Lepisosteus oculatus: one gene and its partner. The protein of the gene in region 2 interacts with the protein of the main gene of each other region in a pairwise test. Links are inferred from orthologs where the notes say so. Each region holds a gene or a part of one and is shown on either strand. Other genes may lie near its edges.

Region 1 (7,668 bases), on a different chromosome or scaffold from region 2:
CTCCAAGGTATGGCTCGTGTTTATAAAGACTTTGCTCCAGCGTTAGAGCGAGACGAATTTCTGAGCCAGGAGTGGAGAGAGCTATGCAGCTTGACAATATCGAGGAGCGCACAGTACTCGACCGCTGTCCCTGATCCAAGGCACCTGGGCGGGCAGTTCTTCACAGGGGCATGTCTGTGGAAGACACTTGGATTTCAACGGGTCTGAATACATCTAACAGGAACCGTCCTATAGGCTGTTCGAATTAAGTTCCCGAATAAGGGCTCCTTTACTGAGCCACTGCGGATACCTACTCTTAGTATCCTTAGTTTAAATTAATTACATACACCTTCAGAGCGCCAGTTCTACGCCAGGATGGGCTCCTGCACCCGCTACATGTGCCAACAGGTTGCTCGTGATGAGCCGCTTGTCTCGACACAACCGGAAAGAGAGGACGTCTGAAGTCTCCCAAGAGCCGGGCGATGCACCGCTGTTTTAAAGTCAGTCCCAGTAAAAACGTGAGAAAATGTTTTCCCATGGCAAGCAAATTCTAGAACGGTCCATGCTTGTGTCGGTAGGGTGTGTTTTTACTCAAACTGTCTTCTACTGTGTACTGCCTGCGTATTGGAGACTTTCATGTTGTGCAATAAATACAGGACCATGTCAATTAGGGCTGATCTTTCTCTTCGATGTGCACTTATACCAAGGTTCATACACATCACGTTTCCTTTAAAAAGATACCCAGAATATCAGCCACACGCTTTTCTGGGCATCGGACTCTCCCATCCATAGTCGCTGCAGCCTGCAGGCTCAACGTACAGCTCACTAAGAGCCGAGACCGAGATCGATTACATCAGTTACCTGTTGCAGTCTCAGCAGCCTTGCTGTCCTGCTGGCCCGATACGAATTCCTCTACCAAACCCAGCAACACAGCTCCATTCGCGGCCATCATGCACAACCCACAAGTCAAACTCCTCTTCGCGCGCATGCGCTGCAGCTGTCGCCGAGGAAAGGCAGGGTAGAAACACCACTGTCACGTGACAAAGACCAAGGCACTGTGCAGGGTTGCTCTTGAGCAGTTTTGCCCTGTCCTCAGCGAAGTGGGCACTCCTGCTTTTGAAGCAATTAGAATGTAGCAGCTCTGAAAGTTTGCTTCAGATGTTGAGCAGATATGATCAGGAAATGTTTGAGGAAGCCTCATGTCACAATTCCAGAGAAACAAGCATCGCGGATGCTGTGTGACCCAACTTACTGACGAATTCAAATTCTGTATTGGCATGACCAATTAATTAAATTATTACCAAAGCAAATATTTACACAATTTAAAGCAACATATATTTGAAGTAGTCTACGCTCCTCAAACTGTGGTTAGAGCTCACGTACTGGCTGCAGAATCCCTTGGGTCTACTTACAGTACGATTGGAAGATCTTCTGAGTTTTGTAGGTCTGGGATTTCTATGTTCAATTTGTTTATTGGTTTTTCGGGAAGAACAAAAAATATTACATGGTACCATAAACAATAATGAACAAATGTGAACAATCATTACGGCATGACAGACTTAACCAAACTGTAAAAATCCAACAATAATATAAAAACAGTGAGGAAGGAGAAGAAAAAAGGAAACCAGAGATGTAAAAGAGGAAAAAGGGTACAGGTGAAAGGATAGGTAGGGAATACTAGGAATTGGTATCTGTGTCTATAAAATACAATATAACAATATTTCTTCTGTGTTCTGTAATCTGGAATCTTGTCAGTATTTACAGTCAAGATTCCCTTAACAAAATGGCAAGAAATCTCATGTTCTGATACATCACGAGCAATTACTGCAATAATACCAGTCACTATAGTATTAGACTTCTTACAGGGTTTATGCCCTGATGTGAAATAATGAACCCAAGAGTTTTTTTTTATATTTATCACACTCTGCATACTCTTTAGTTAAAGCACTCTTTGTTTTTATTTCTCCTATCATAGGTGAAGTTTCAGAGAAAATACGGACCACAGTATTTTCCCAGTTAATAAAGAAATCAGGAACTGTCCTGAAATCGTTCCAGGAATGTTGTCAGCAATAAAGGGGAAAGTATGAAGCAGATCTTATCTCCTGGCAAAATACATCAATTACTGCCAATAAGGAACAGCAGCTGCTTAGTGGTAATCTACCCGTACAGACCCAGTGATAGGCAATGATCAAATAGGTTAATGCAGAATGAAAATCAATGCAGCTTCCGATTGTGTTACTATTTGTATCACGTAATCAATCTTAACCAGCTCAACTTCCAGAGGACAGAGTCTCAGTCAGTACAGAACAACGCACAGCACATGGGACCTGTGCCTTAACTAGGGGGTTCGGTTTGATACTGGACAGACACGCTCACTGGGACCATACTGACCCACCCAGGGGGGATACTTGACCCAGCTGGAACTTATTCAGGGTTCTCTCAAGTTGTCCTTGATGAATTAACCCGATAACCGACTTCAGCATTACTCAAGGTTCACCGAGGTAAACTCTGACTTCATTTTTCCAGTTAACTTCAATTTAAGCCCCTTGCCAGGCCTCTGCTGTCTCTACTTCCAGAGACGTTCCAAATTGTTTGAGGAAACATCATTCCAGGAGGAAAATTACTAAGAGGTGCAATACAGGAGGGATGAGCGTCAAATCCTTCATTTATACCAGCAAAAACTACGGCGAAAGAATGCGCATCTTAATCCAGTGACCAGGAATTATGCCTCTTTATGGAAAACTAGGAGGATAAAATCTGTTGCAAAAGCAAGGAAATACACTGTAGCTGCTGCAAAAGCCAGAGAAGTCGCCTTGCAAAACTGAATCTGGAAGTTAATTATGAAATCCAATCAACTAGCTCAAGAGATAAAACAAACTATAAAAATTGTGTGAGTATGCATGCATTGGCATTACTTAACTTTCATTATTATGGTGCTGAAGTGGAGATCCACTTTAAGCCATGGTGTAATCGCACAATTTTGTTCTTGTGCAGAACTAATTTGTGCATTTACACAGCACAATGCTGGAGCACAAAGGGAGGACCTGGCAGCAGGCCAAGACAAAACCCAGGAACATCATCCACAGTGGCACTGGGGTCCTGTACACTACGGTGTGGCGGAATGCTCTTACAACGTCTTCCAATTTTATCCGACAAGAAGACGCTTGAGCAGAGTAACACTTGAAGAAGAGGAATCGGCGTCAACACCATAAAGAATGTGTTCCTTCATTCAACATTTCCAACATTTTTTAGTGTGGATCGAGTAGTATAGGTGAGGCATTCCCCTCCAGATTGCAGAAAGCCTTACGCCAGGTAAAAATGTGACCTAATTATAACCGAAAAATAAAATAACCACAGTGAAATTAGAAAAAAAAGGTATATGTTAAAAATCAGACCGAGCATTCACTGTTTCACTAGAGTTATGTTCGGCTATGATGTGCCTTTCAGAGCTGTCACCCTGTTGAGCGATGAATAGGAGGACAGTCATCAGAGAGCACTGGTGGAGGGGAAGAACTCTCTCTTCCTAAGGGTGGTAATACTGTGCTGCACGCTGAGGATACCCTCAGACAGAATCATGTACATGTTGCCAGTGTGACACCATACATCATGGATTCTGATAACATAGGAAACGATGTGATGATGGAAATTGTGCATAATATACACCTAAGTATAGCAACACCCATTGTGTGCACACACGTTTAACCTCTTTTATCGGACACGATCGATAATATTTATTGTTTTTTGTAATATTCATATTTTTAGGCTAGAATTTTATTTTTTAACTGTACATTGATGCTATGAATTGATTTTCTGATTTTAAAAAATCAGCCTGGACAGCCTCCTTGGTGCACGACACATCGCTTTACTGAAGAGTTCCGAATCACCCACACAGTAAAAAAAAATGCACCAGTCACAATAATCTCAACTACGAGAGTTTGTTTCTTGTAACGCTCAGCTACGTCCAGCAGTATTAACAATGTATGTGGTTAAGAGATATTGATTGTAAAGTATATCCTATCTATTCAAACTGTATCTTTCAGATAAAAATTATCAGCGGGCAGTAAAGGGATTTTGCGATCTCTAATCTTGATGCAAAGCTCTGTGTACTGGATCTCTGAAGAAAAGTGATGTCGTTTCTCATAGGGGGCTGAGCTGAGCCAAGCTCTTAACCACAAAGTCAGGCTAAATCTGATTTAACCTGCCTCACAGCAGGTTAAGAATGAAGGATATGTTGCTATAGTTATTTAACTTTAGACCGTTCAATCTTGCTTCGTGAAACCGAAAATCCGGATTTTTGTCATCGTGTTATCCGGTTAACTGAGAGAGCTATGAGAAACAACCCCTAGGGCAACAGTGTTTTTTTCGGGAATAAGATATTTTTTTAACATTGTTTGAGAATGAGATTTCTGTTCTCATGCATGTGATTTGATGTAATCTGCTAGAAAAAGGTGATCGATACTTATCAATAACGACACAATCAGACACCCACTTTTTGATCCGATTACAGGGATTTATTTTTGTTACGCCAGATGACAAGGACTTGCCGAGCTACTGTTTATTTATATTTCGCACACAAACACCCGCAGCCCTTTCCTGTTACCTGACACCACAGCGGTGCCAGTCACGAGACGAAATCCAACACCGGCCGGTTTCTACCCAGAGCTCCGCGCAGGGCCGCGCAGGCGCACTAGCGCCGTCTGCCACCAGGAAGGAGAAAGGGATTTAAACCTGGAGCAATCCGAGGCGACCTGGGAGAGGTTGGGGATTAGGGAGGGCAGGGAAACTGTCTAGAGAGAATTTTTTTTAAAAAAAGAAAACAACAACAACATATCTGTGGAGTTGTTTTTGTGCCACAAGAGCAGAGACGAGTTTGCTTAGCAGGCTGAGCCGGGACCGCAGAAGTGCCAGTGAAGTTACCGCCGGACTCTTGAGCCAGAAATAACTGGAGACGGGAGAGGGGGAGCCGCGTTCCCTCTCCTTAAAAATAACCCCCGAAGTGCTTCTTTCCTGCAGCGGCGGGGCCGGTGACCTCGCGAGGGCTGAAGGTTTGGCCGGTCCTGCTCCGGGGGGGTCCCTGCCGAGCCCCCCCGCTACGGCTCGCGCCTCGGAATGCTCGTGAGCTCAAACGACAACAACGGCGCCTGAGTCTCGAGCGGCGCGGTGCTCCCGCGGACGCGCACGGGGAACCCAGGGGCCGCGTCCCTTCCCGGAGGGGTCGGCGTGAACGCTTCTTCCCCCACGGCGTGGAGCTCTTTATGGGGGGTCCGGAGTAACTGACCAGTCATGGGAGGCTGCGTGGGAAGAGAGCGGGGGAGCTCGCAGGGGTCAGGCCGGAGCGGGGCGAGGAAGCGTGGAGGTAAGACACCCCCCGCCCGGGACGTGTGATCAGTTTCGCTTCCTGCGAGAGAATGTTTTGTTTAGTGTTGGAAGTTGAGCGGCTGCAGTCCACGCCGAAAAGAGGCCAGCGTCTAGTGTAGTGTAGCGGAGGGACGAGGCTTTAGAAAAGAGGCTGCTCGCAAGAGAAATTCGTCGAGTGGGGAGTTTGAGTCGACTCTTCGGAGGCCACGACCTACGCAGCGAAGTGTTTGTCAGTCATAATGATGGGGAAAAATGCCTTGCAAGCACGCCCGGTCCCTTAGCTGGTGTGGATGTGAGGTGTTCTTACATCGCCTCTAATCCGGGTCCAGTCTAACACACGGTTAGTCACGACACATCCGCAGCTTTGAGCCTGAAGGATTGCCGTGTTTCTTGTGAGCACTTTTTACAGACGAGAACTGCAACGGTGCGGGTGCAGAGCCTTGGATGTTTTCTAAGTGTGACACTCGATGCAAAAAGCAGAATATCCCTTTCCTGTCGAGACAGGGATGTCAGGGGATCCGTGTGTGACCAGTGGTTCCTCCAGGCCCTCTGTGCGACTTCCTGATGCTTTGCCCCGGCCGGGTCACAGATCCTCTGACGCTCCTTCCCCATTCAGAGCACCACTGTGCTACAGCCAGAGAACAGCACAAAGGAAACACTGTACCCTTGCACACAGCAAGCCACTTGCCCATCTAGTCGATGTGGTTCTTTATAGCTAATTAGGATTGATTAAAATCTGCATATTTATCAATTTTTCTTTAGAATTATAATAATGCCGTAATCCGGCCCTCAATCCCAGGGTACATTTTTTTAAAAATGTGATTTTCCTTGGCAAAATCTGTGCTTTTTACCGCTGAGCTTGAGGTCTCTTTCTGGACTCCCCTGTTACTAAGGGGTGAGAACTAGTCTTGGGATAATATGAGTTGTGGTTCTTGTGGATTACCTAAATCCTCAGTGGATCAAGAATAGGCTGTAGGAATCTCACCCTGTGTGCTTGGTGATTGATTAGCAGCCTGTGACAGGTTACAGTCTAGCATCTTGTGTTTGTAGAGTGAAAGGAGAAGGCCACACCAGGGCCACAGCAATAGGACCCCAGTCCATTGTGGGATCACTCCCCTCCACTGCTGAGCCTTACTTACCGTATACAGCTGGGTGGACCGGAGCAAGTGGGGTGAAGTACCTCTCTCAAGGTACAGCAGCAGTGTTTCCAGCTGGATGCGAAGCCACAACTCTGTTCTGACCCCGCGAGTTTGTAGTGTAGAAGTCCCTTCAGGTTTTCCTGAAAATGTAATGGGGGGGGGGGAAATAGTGCTACAGGAAGAATGGCGCGGGATAAACTCAATGCGCACAATCAAATGCACTGGCGTTGGCTCCAGTGATGAACTGTTCTAGAGAACAGAGAGGTGGGTTGTGACTTTGCTTATTTTTGGTGATCTGAGGTATACAAAAAAAAAAGTCATTTGAATTTTGAACTTTTCACAACTTCACAGATGATGCGACTTGATATTCCTTCTTACGATTTTGTGGATCTGGTTATGTACACTCAAAGTTTTGTCTGTCTGAGTAGTTTTGAGGCCAGGTCTTCCACAGACTGAATTTCTGATTTGTAATTGCAATGAATGTAATTTACATGGTCTGTGTGAAGAATGAAGAAAGCCTGGTAGAGCAGAGTGCAGTCCAGTTGGCATTTGGTACTTGTCTTGAGTCTTCCAAGGTTATTTAATCCGTCAATTGACTTTGCCTTAGGTTTTATTATTCTAGCACATCGTTTCACAAATTGTGGCTCAAAAATATTCCTTTTATGAGGTCATTTATAATTAATCGTCGATGGGATGCTTTAGATTCTTATTTTATGTTCAGACTTGAGAAAAGTGTTTTCAGAGCTTGTGCTTTGTGAGCACACATCTACAAAACAAGCACCCTGTAATGACAGGAAGATTTCTGCATACAGTTTAGTTACTAATTTGCAACATAAAACAAGCATTTTTTTAAAGAATTGCGCTCTGCTGTAAACATTAATATCCTGTTGTACTTAATTTAAAATGGCTGACTTTTAATCTTGGTTACAAATGACGTGGCATTTAGTCTCATAGCCTGCTATATTTTATGAGAGAACTTTGATGTTTTTTAAAACTGCCCCCAGTTTTGTTTTTATGTAAACGATGTCTGCTTGGGAATAATGCACTATGTAGTGCAGAATACAGGAGTATATTATTTATAGAAAGCATAGCTGAAAACAGCTCAAGGTAAATAGATGTCTCAACATGTGATTTTAAATTGCCTGGTACTATTAATCGAAGATTATGGTGTACTGTCCCGGTCAAACAAGGA
Region 2 (7,652 bases):
AACTTATCCTTAGCTCTCCTTTTTAACTGGTGTTATGAGTACAGATTTGCATAAACAAATCTGAGACCCACAATGCGATTAACTGTTCAATCCATGCTATTGTCTTGCAGGTTAAATCAACTCGCAGTTGACCATATCCCTTTTATAAAATATTTTTTAAAGGATTACACATGAAAGTGCATTCCTAAAGTTTTGCCTTTTGTTTTTCTTAATGATCGCCAGATTCGGAACACCAGCTAAAGACGTAAGGACACGATGCATTCAGAGATGTTTTTAAAGTACCACATGCACTGTAATAGAATTATCTCATTCACATACCATATATGTAATATCACATTGTAATATCCCATTACAAGATACAGATACTTAGACACCTGGAAAATTAATAAGGTTTGCACAGTAAAATTAAAACAATACAAAATTATGTGCTCTAGGGCAAAGATAACCATGTACAGTACTATAACCTTTGACACTTTCAAGTATAAAATGGAATATAATCAATCATGTACAGTTAAAATTTATTTTGTAAAATAATATTATCTTCCAGTTCCTGGTAACCAGGAGCACAGAGGATGCATACTGTAATTGCTCTCTTTGCAGGTAGTGCAATGTCAAACACTTTTCTACTTGAAAAGTGCTGTTCCCAGGTGTATAAGTCTTTCTCAAGTTATCCTGATAAAGACAGTTAACCAACTGGCACCCAATCAACAGAGAATTAATTAAACAAACCCAGAGCTACAAGAAATAGAAAGTGTCACAATGTTTATACAAAGCAGACAATCCCAGAATACTGTAATTGCAGTCATTTGTCATAAATTGGGAAAAGCTGTGGCACCATTTTTGACGTACCACCGTGAAGATATGGGATTATGCAATGCGAAATATTAATTTAAAACTCATGTTTATGTCGGAACTTGGAAACAAATGAAAGCTATATACTGTACAGTATGGTATTCACAATAATGGGAGAAAATTACATTATCAATAAGCAACACTAATAACCTGTAAAAACACTTTTATGTGAAAATAAAGCAATATCTAACTAATCCAGCAAGATTATACTCAGTTACTAACAAATAGTTACACGGTAAAGTTATTGAAATACTTTACTGACTTTACCATCAACAACAAGTAAAGAAATGCAATGTCTCATTTATTTTTTTGTATCATTCTGGTAATTTATGAGTAAATTCTACCTTATATTTTCTCTTTCTTTCATCTTTCTAATCTCTCAATATCCAGTAAAACAATCCGAAGAGAAAATGCTATTTTATATCATAATTGTGATCAACACTAAGTTTAATTATTTTTTCAGAAAGTTGTTCTGAATCCTTACCCCACTCAGGTTTTGGACCCAGGAAATGAGTAGATTCTGCTTATAAGGTTCACTTAGTAAGAGTGATTAGTCATTTTAATGTAAAACCAATGTAAGGATCTGTACAGCTTCTTAAAACTTGTCCCACATTCCAACTAAATGAAACATACAACAAAACCTATTCATGCTACCACAAAGTTTACCTCAATTTTAACACAATTTAAATTTATCTTAAACTCAGTTGTCACGCCAAAAATACACATCTAAAGTGAAAAAATAAATGTCCTTTCTTTTAAAAACAATAAATTCATTTGGAAAAATCATGATCACAGCAGTAGTAAAGGATGAAAAGCTTCTTTTTGTAAAGAGTACTTCATGCTAGTTTTTCAGTACAAAATAAAATTAATGTAATCTATTTAGATACTTTAATGTGTGCTATTTAGATACAGTTCAGAGACAGCGGCCTTAAACAGAAAAATCGAGCACAGATCTGATGGGAGAACTTTGTAAATCTAGGTCATACAACAACTTATTTAAAAATATTAATACATATGGTATAAGCAACTTAAAAAGAAAAAAAATGGAATAACAATTTACTTTTCTATTTTTATTGACCTCAAAACCAGAAATTTAACTCAATATTGTAATAAAGTAAAAGTGCCAAATTCTTCAGATACAGTATATGCAGCCTACCATATACATTTAGATGAAACTTTCTGTCACCTTTTATACATGACACAGCACAAAATAATTTTAAAAAGTCATATAACGCTTCTCATTTACTGTATAGCTCATCCTTACCCACTGGCACAGGTCAAGAAAGACATCCAGGACTCTCTCAGGTAAGAAAGTACTGGAGGACATTTAAAAGAAATGACCCTGAAGCATGGATTATTTTGATCAGACATTTTACATTTTGCCAGATAACCAAATCTTACACCACATACAGGATCTATCCTTTAAAACATTTCTGACACGTATTGAAAAGGCATTAATATGTATTCCATGGATAGACCTTGCAAAAGAAAGCAGCTTTGAACACTTTCATTCAGAAATAGTTTGTTTTTTCTGGAATGTGCAGCGGCTGATACAGATGTACAGTATGCATTTGCATTGTTTACTCCGTTCTTCACAATCATGATTTCTTAGCATTGCATATCTGGCAACTCAAAGGAAAAAATAAGATAAATTAAATCCTATTTAGGACTAAGTTAAATCCCAACATGCGAGTGTTGGACTTTCAATTTCAGAAATGTCTCTTCCTTTGAACTGTTTAGGCATTTGCAGCACATGGCAGTCCTAAATGCTTTTAATTTATTTCATTTCAGTTTGCATCTGGGTTTCATCACAGATAAGAAAGCACTGTGAAGTGCGGAGAGCTCTTTGCCAGACAAATCTTTAGAAGAAAGTCAACTGCTGTTAAGTGATATTCCTATAAAGTGAATGAATGAAAGAGAACGGAGAAAGGAAAAAAAAAAACACTTTGTAAGTCCAGTTTGGCAGGAGCAGAAAAACTTCTTGGCTAAATTAAACAGAAGTGGAGCAGAGGTTTATAGGTGAAAACCAAATTACTTCACATCTCGCCTTGAGTATTACGTCGCGCCCTTAAATGCCTCTCAAGCACTGAATCTCCTACCTGCTTCCCCATTGTCCCGATTTGTGATGTCCTCCTTCCTAGGGAAAATGTCAGTGTTTTTTCTGCAGAGTGGACTTTTAGGACAGAGCTGGAGATGTCTGTGTCCCACTTGTAGTAAAAACTTTAACTGTTAATCCTGTGAGTCAGGAAACTGGGCTCTGTCCAGCCTCTAGCTCACTCCCACTCATCAGGGTGTGTGTATGCACATGCCTCCCTGTATGGAACAGAGAAGCCTCTCTCCTCAGCCCAACAGGTTTCCTTATATAGGTAAACATGTCTTAAATTCCCTCTCAGGGAGACTGCCTTGGAACGAAAGCTTAACCCCCCAAGTGCCAAAAAAACAGCACCTTAATGGAAAAGTATTCAGTAGAGGTTGCCTGCAGTACAGAGGCAATAAAAAGGGAGTGGTTACGAAGTCAGCTGGTCTGTTTAGACCATGACATTTGGAGCACGTCAATGGTACCATGAGGACTCATTCCCATGGACAACAGTATTGGACACTGAACAGTTTCATGCAACCCTTTAGCTCAGGTTAGGTCCCTTTTTGATAGAATTGGATTTAGACCAAATATTTTTTTAAAAGGGGAAATGTTCTTCATTTAAAGGCATTTTGAATGATTTTGTTTTTCCACATTATGGAAAAATGCAGTTTTACCATAGTGACAGCACTACCTCCAGGTATTGTGAATGTAATTTTAGGACATCGCAACTGGTGGCTTTTGAATGGACACGTACAAAACCAACCCTAAAATGAATACTACTTTTCTTACTTTGTAAAGTGGCATTCTGGAGTTCCATCATGGATATTATTATTACAACTTTTAAAAGTTAAAAATCTAGATTTTAACTAGATATTGAATTGTCATTCATTGTAAAGTTTTTAAAATGCACACTGCTGGGCAAATGTCTTAAACCAGGAATCTCAAACTCAATTGCTGGAGGGTCTCACGTGTGCTGGTTTCTGGAACCCATGTTCTCATTTACTGTACATAATCGGTCTAATTATTCACATTAATTAATTAGGTAACATTAATGAATTTAAGGTCTTGTAATCCACTGTAAAAGACCTTAAGGAAGCTTCTACTGTATGTATATCTAATTTAGAAAATAATTAGACTAAATGTTTAATTGACTATTCAGGTTGGAACACAAACCAGAAGGCCTTACCCCTCCAGGAGTTGAGTCTGAGGTCCCCGTCTTTAATACTTTGCATTGCTTTACTCCTCTAACTCAATGTTTTTCATTTTTATGGAAACTTAAAGTTGATCTTTAACTAAAATGGCAGCCACTTTGTTTAATTAACCATTATTAACTGTCCATATTTTGTAGCACAACATTTAAGCATTTAACTTTAAATTTAAATGTGCAGAGAAGAACAAGTAATTTTAATGACAAGCTCCACCTGATAAATGAGTCAAATAGATTGGATTGGTAAATGTGATGGAATAGCTACTAAAATGTTTTATATTGGTCACACATGTATACTTACCTAGATTTATCATGTCGTTAAAGATTCTGATTCTGTGAATTAAAGATAATAAAATACAGGTTGTTATAATAGTAGAATAGTAAAGACTTTGAATTAACTGGTCATAACATGCATTTATTGTAACTCCTGATTGAGTCCAAGATGTCCAAGAATATTGCACAGCACCACATGTACACTGAAGGTATTAATTGAAGTTCTTAGTAAGAAACTCTGAGATATACAGTATTTAATCTCAAATTTACATGCAAAGTTGTTGGATCCTTGAAATCTTCAGAACACAGACTCATTTTTTCCAGAAAACTGCTGACATTTTTAGATTTATATACAGATGTGTATAGTATGATGCATATAGAAATGCAGACCATATGTGTACTATATGTGCATACTGTATAAATTCGGGGCTTGTTTTTTTCCATATTTTAATGGCCTCTGATCTTGCTTGGTATTCCACAATCTACTGCTCATGTTTAAAAATGTATACAATTCACCGTGGGCTTGGAAGCACGAATTTTAAGAGCAGTAAAAATGTTTTTATAATAATAAACAGCTCTCTATAAAAAAAAACAACTGTATGTATTTTCTTAAGTATTTTCTTAAATATGTAAATTTAAATCACCTGTTAGTGTTTGACATATACTGTAAAGTACAGTCATTATCATAGTCCCAGTTGTATTAGCACCATGTTGTACTGTTCTATAGCACACAGTTTTCATGACTCAGTGGACTGAACACAGCAACTGTCTTTTTAAGCTTCTTTTAAAATGAATATGCAAGGTCACAAATTAGCTTTAAAAAGTTTATTTGTTTAAACATCTGTCCCTTCACAATATATAAGAGGATGCTGCAAGACAAATTGGGTGTGTTGAATACAGTAGGTCACAAACTGGCTTTATTTACAGAAATAATAATAAAATGCTAGAAAATGATAACCTGATAACAAGAAACAGAGAAATTTATATTGTATTTCAAATGTAGCTTTAAGTCAATTATCTTCATAAAAAGCAAAGTATTCAGATAAACCATTAATAATTGTTATGATGTGTATGGAAAATGAGGAGTAGAGAAAAGAGACTTTTCTTTCTGATTCAAACAGTTCAAAACTCCTGGTCTGAAAGCATGTGATAAACTCACTGTTATTAAAGAGCCTCAGAAGCCCATATCTCTAAACTAAGTATGTGTGCATACTCCATTTGAAACCCCATTTAAAACACTCCACTGTAAGTCACCGGTGTTTCATTACATTTGGTAAAGTCCAGATGTCATGTAACAATCTGCTGAAGTTTTATGTTACTTCTCTTGTGAAGCTGGTAAAATAAGACTAATAACTTTTCAGTGCCCTGGACTTTTCTGGGGGAATAACAGCATATTCTTTTATTACTGCTTAGACTACTGTACAATGAAATGACTGAGCTATGTACTTTGTTGTTAGCAACAATGTGAGGATTAATTTCTTCCCAAGATGAGGAAAAGACAGAGGGTACGGAGGAGGGGATGTCAAGCACTTCATAATCTGCAAACATTTATATAATTTATACTATTTTTATTCAATACATATGTTGGATTTAAGAGAGCATTTACCAATTCAAGTTAAAGTATATTATGTTAAATGGGTTTACATTTAATGCTGAGGACTGCTTTGAAGACCAAGTTATAGGTGTCATATCCCCTCTGAGCTGAGTGCTGAATCACAAGCGCTCGAACCACCATGGCCAGCGGTTGGGACTCAAATTAATCTGCTAATCTGTCTGTTTCCTTGACAACATGATTGGGCAGATCAGCACATTTTTTTTTCCAAAGGATATACAGTACAATTTCTATGTACATACATTGACTGTACTTCCCTGCTCAGCTTTACCACTTTGTCCTTAAATCACCCAATTTTCACACTGGTGCAATTTGACTTCTCTGGTTTGGCTCTGCAGTGGTTTCTTTAACCATTTCCCTGGATCTCTTTTGTATTTGCTGTGTCTTTCCATGCTCGACCCCGACTGCTTTGACCCTGTGAATTCTTCCCTGTGCTCTGACTTCTCACTTGTCTGACTATGGCTTTTGTATTTCCCTTCTGTTTACATCGGTTTCTCCTTCTTGAACTATGCTCTCTGGCTCTGTACTCCTCTGCCTGTCTGCTCACAACAGCCTGTTTGACTGCCTGCCTGTACCCAGCTGCTTGCTCGTCTGTCTGCCTGCATTAGGATTCATCACCAGCTTAGACCACTAAACCCTTCCAGGTCACTACAGCGGTTATGACAGTAAGACTAAACCATTAATATGGACCCTTTGGGGAAAGATGAAATTCACCAGGTTCTACCCAATCATGAGCCTGCCCTAAGTTCACAGGCCAGTGTGACAGAATTAAGAGAGGCTGTCAGAAATTTGCGTGCCGCCATGAACAATATGCTGCAAGTCTTTCCTTGCTCCGCATGGCCAACACTGTCTTCGTTCTGCTTTTCACAGACCTTCCATCTCAATTCATTTTTTATGCCTGTGGGAGATCTGCGCTCCACCGGCTTAACTTCACTTAATGTGATGTCAATGTGTTTTTTCAAATGGAAATCCGTTTGAAAAAATGGATCAGCCCAATCCTCCAACTGGCTACTGCAATTGAAACAGGGGAAGTACTCCATGGCTCATTTTGCCATTCACTTCCACACCTTGGCCATTGAAAGTGAAAAGGGAGAGAAGGACCTTACTGCCCTATTTCACGATGGATTGTCTGAACAATATAAGAGTGAATTTGCCTGCACGGACTTACCACAGGGTCTGGAGTCGTGAATCAACCTTGCTTCAAGAATGGATACTTGCCTTCGAAAGAGATAAAAAGATAAAGTATCCTCACATTCTGGCAGAGCAAGCTAGGGTCGTCCGCTTCCAGAACACAACCCAAAGAATCTCCTGTTAAGAAAGCTCCTTCACCCACACATGAGGAAGAGCCAATGTAGATTGGTAGAGCCAGGCTTTATCCAACTGAATATCATGGCCAGGTGTAAGGGCCATTTTGGAACTGTGGATGCAGGGCCGCCTCCATGATTGCTGTTCGTTAGGAATTGGGAGTACTTACCGAGCTGGGTCACTTCATCTCCTTATTCACCTCAGCACCTTGTCCTGCCTGCTTTGCTCTCCTCGGGCACTCTTCAAGCCCAGGTCAATTTGTTTGTAAACTCTGGATCTGAAGGAAATGATTGATATTAATTTAGCTAAATCAATTCCAGAGT

What was found.
Region 1: the proteins of E3 ubiquitin-protein ligase Midline-1 (region 2) and ubtd1b interact in binary tests that used the Homo sapiens proteins (3 or more experiments, as listed by UniProt). The two-hybrid records come from large-scale screens. The link is inferred for Lepisosteus oculatus from reciprocal best matches to the Homo sapiens genes MID1 and UBTD1.

What each region holds. Positions count from the first base shown.
Region 1 is NC_090699.1:16,771,206-16,778,873, forward strand, and holds the start of ubtd1b (ubiquitin domain-containing protein 1), read left to right. Parts: upstream 1-4,620; 5' UTR 4,621-5,262; coding exon 5,263-5,335; intron 5,336-7,668. Other genes in the region: MMS19 nucleotide excision repair protein homolog, read right to left, coding at 841-931. UniProt on the Homo sapiens protein: May be involved in the regulation of cellular senescence through a positive feedback loop with TP53. Is a TP53 downstream target gene that increases the stability of TP53 protein by promoting the ubiquitination and degradation of MDM2.
Region 2 is NC_090710.1:19,718,450-19,726,101, reverse strand, and holds the start of E3 ubiquitin-protein ligase Midline-1, read right to left. Parts: upstream 3,093-7,652; 5' UTR 2,952-3,092; intron 1-2,951. UniProt on the Homo sapiens protein: Has E3 ubiquitin ligase activity towards IGBP1, promoting its monoubiquitination, which results in deprotection of the catalytic subunit of protein phosphatase PP2A, and its subsequent degradation by polyubiquitination.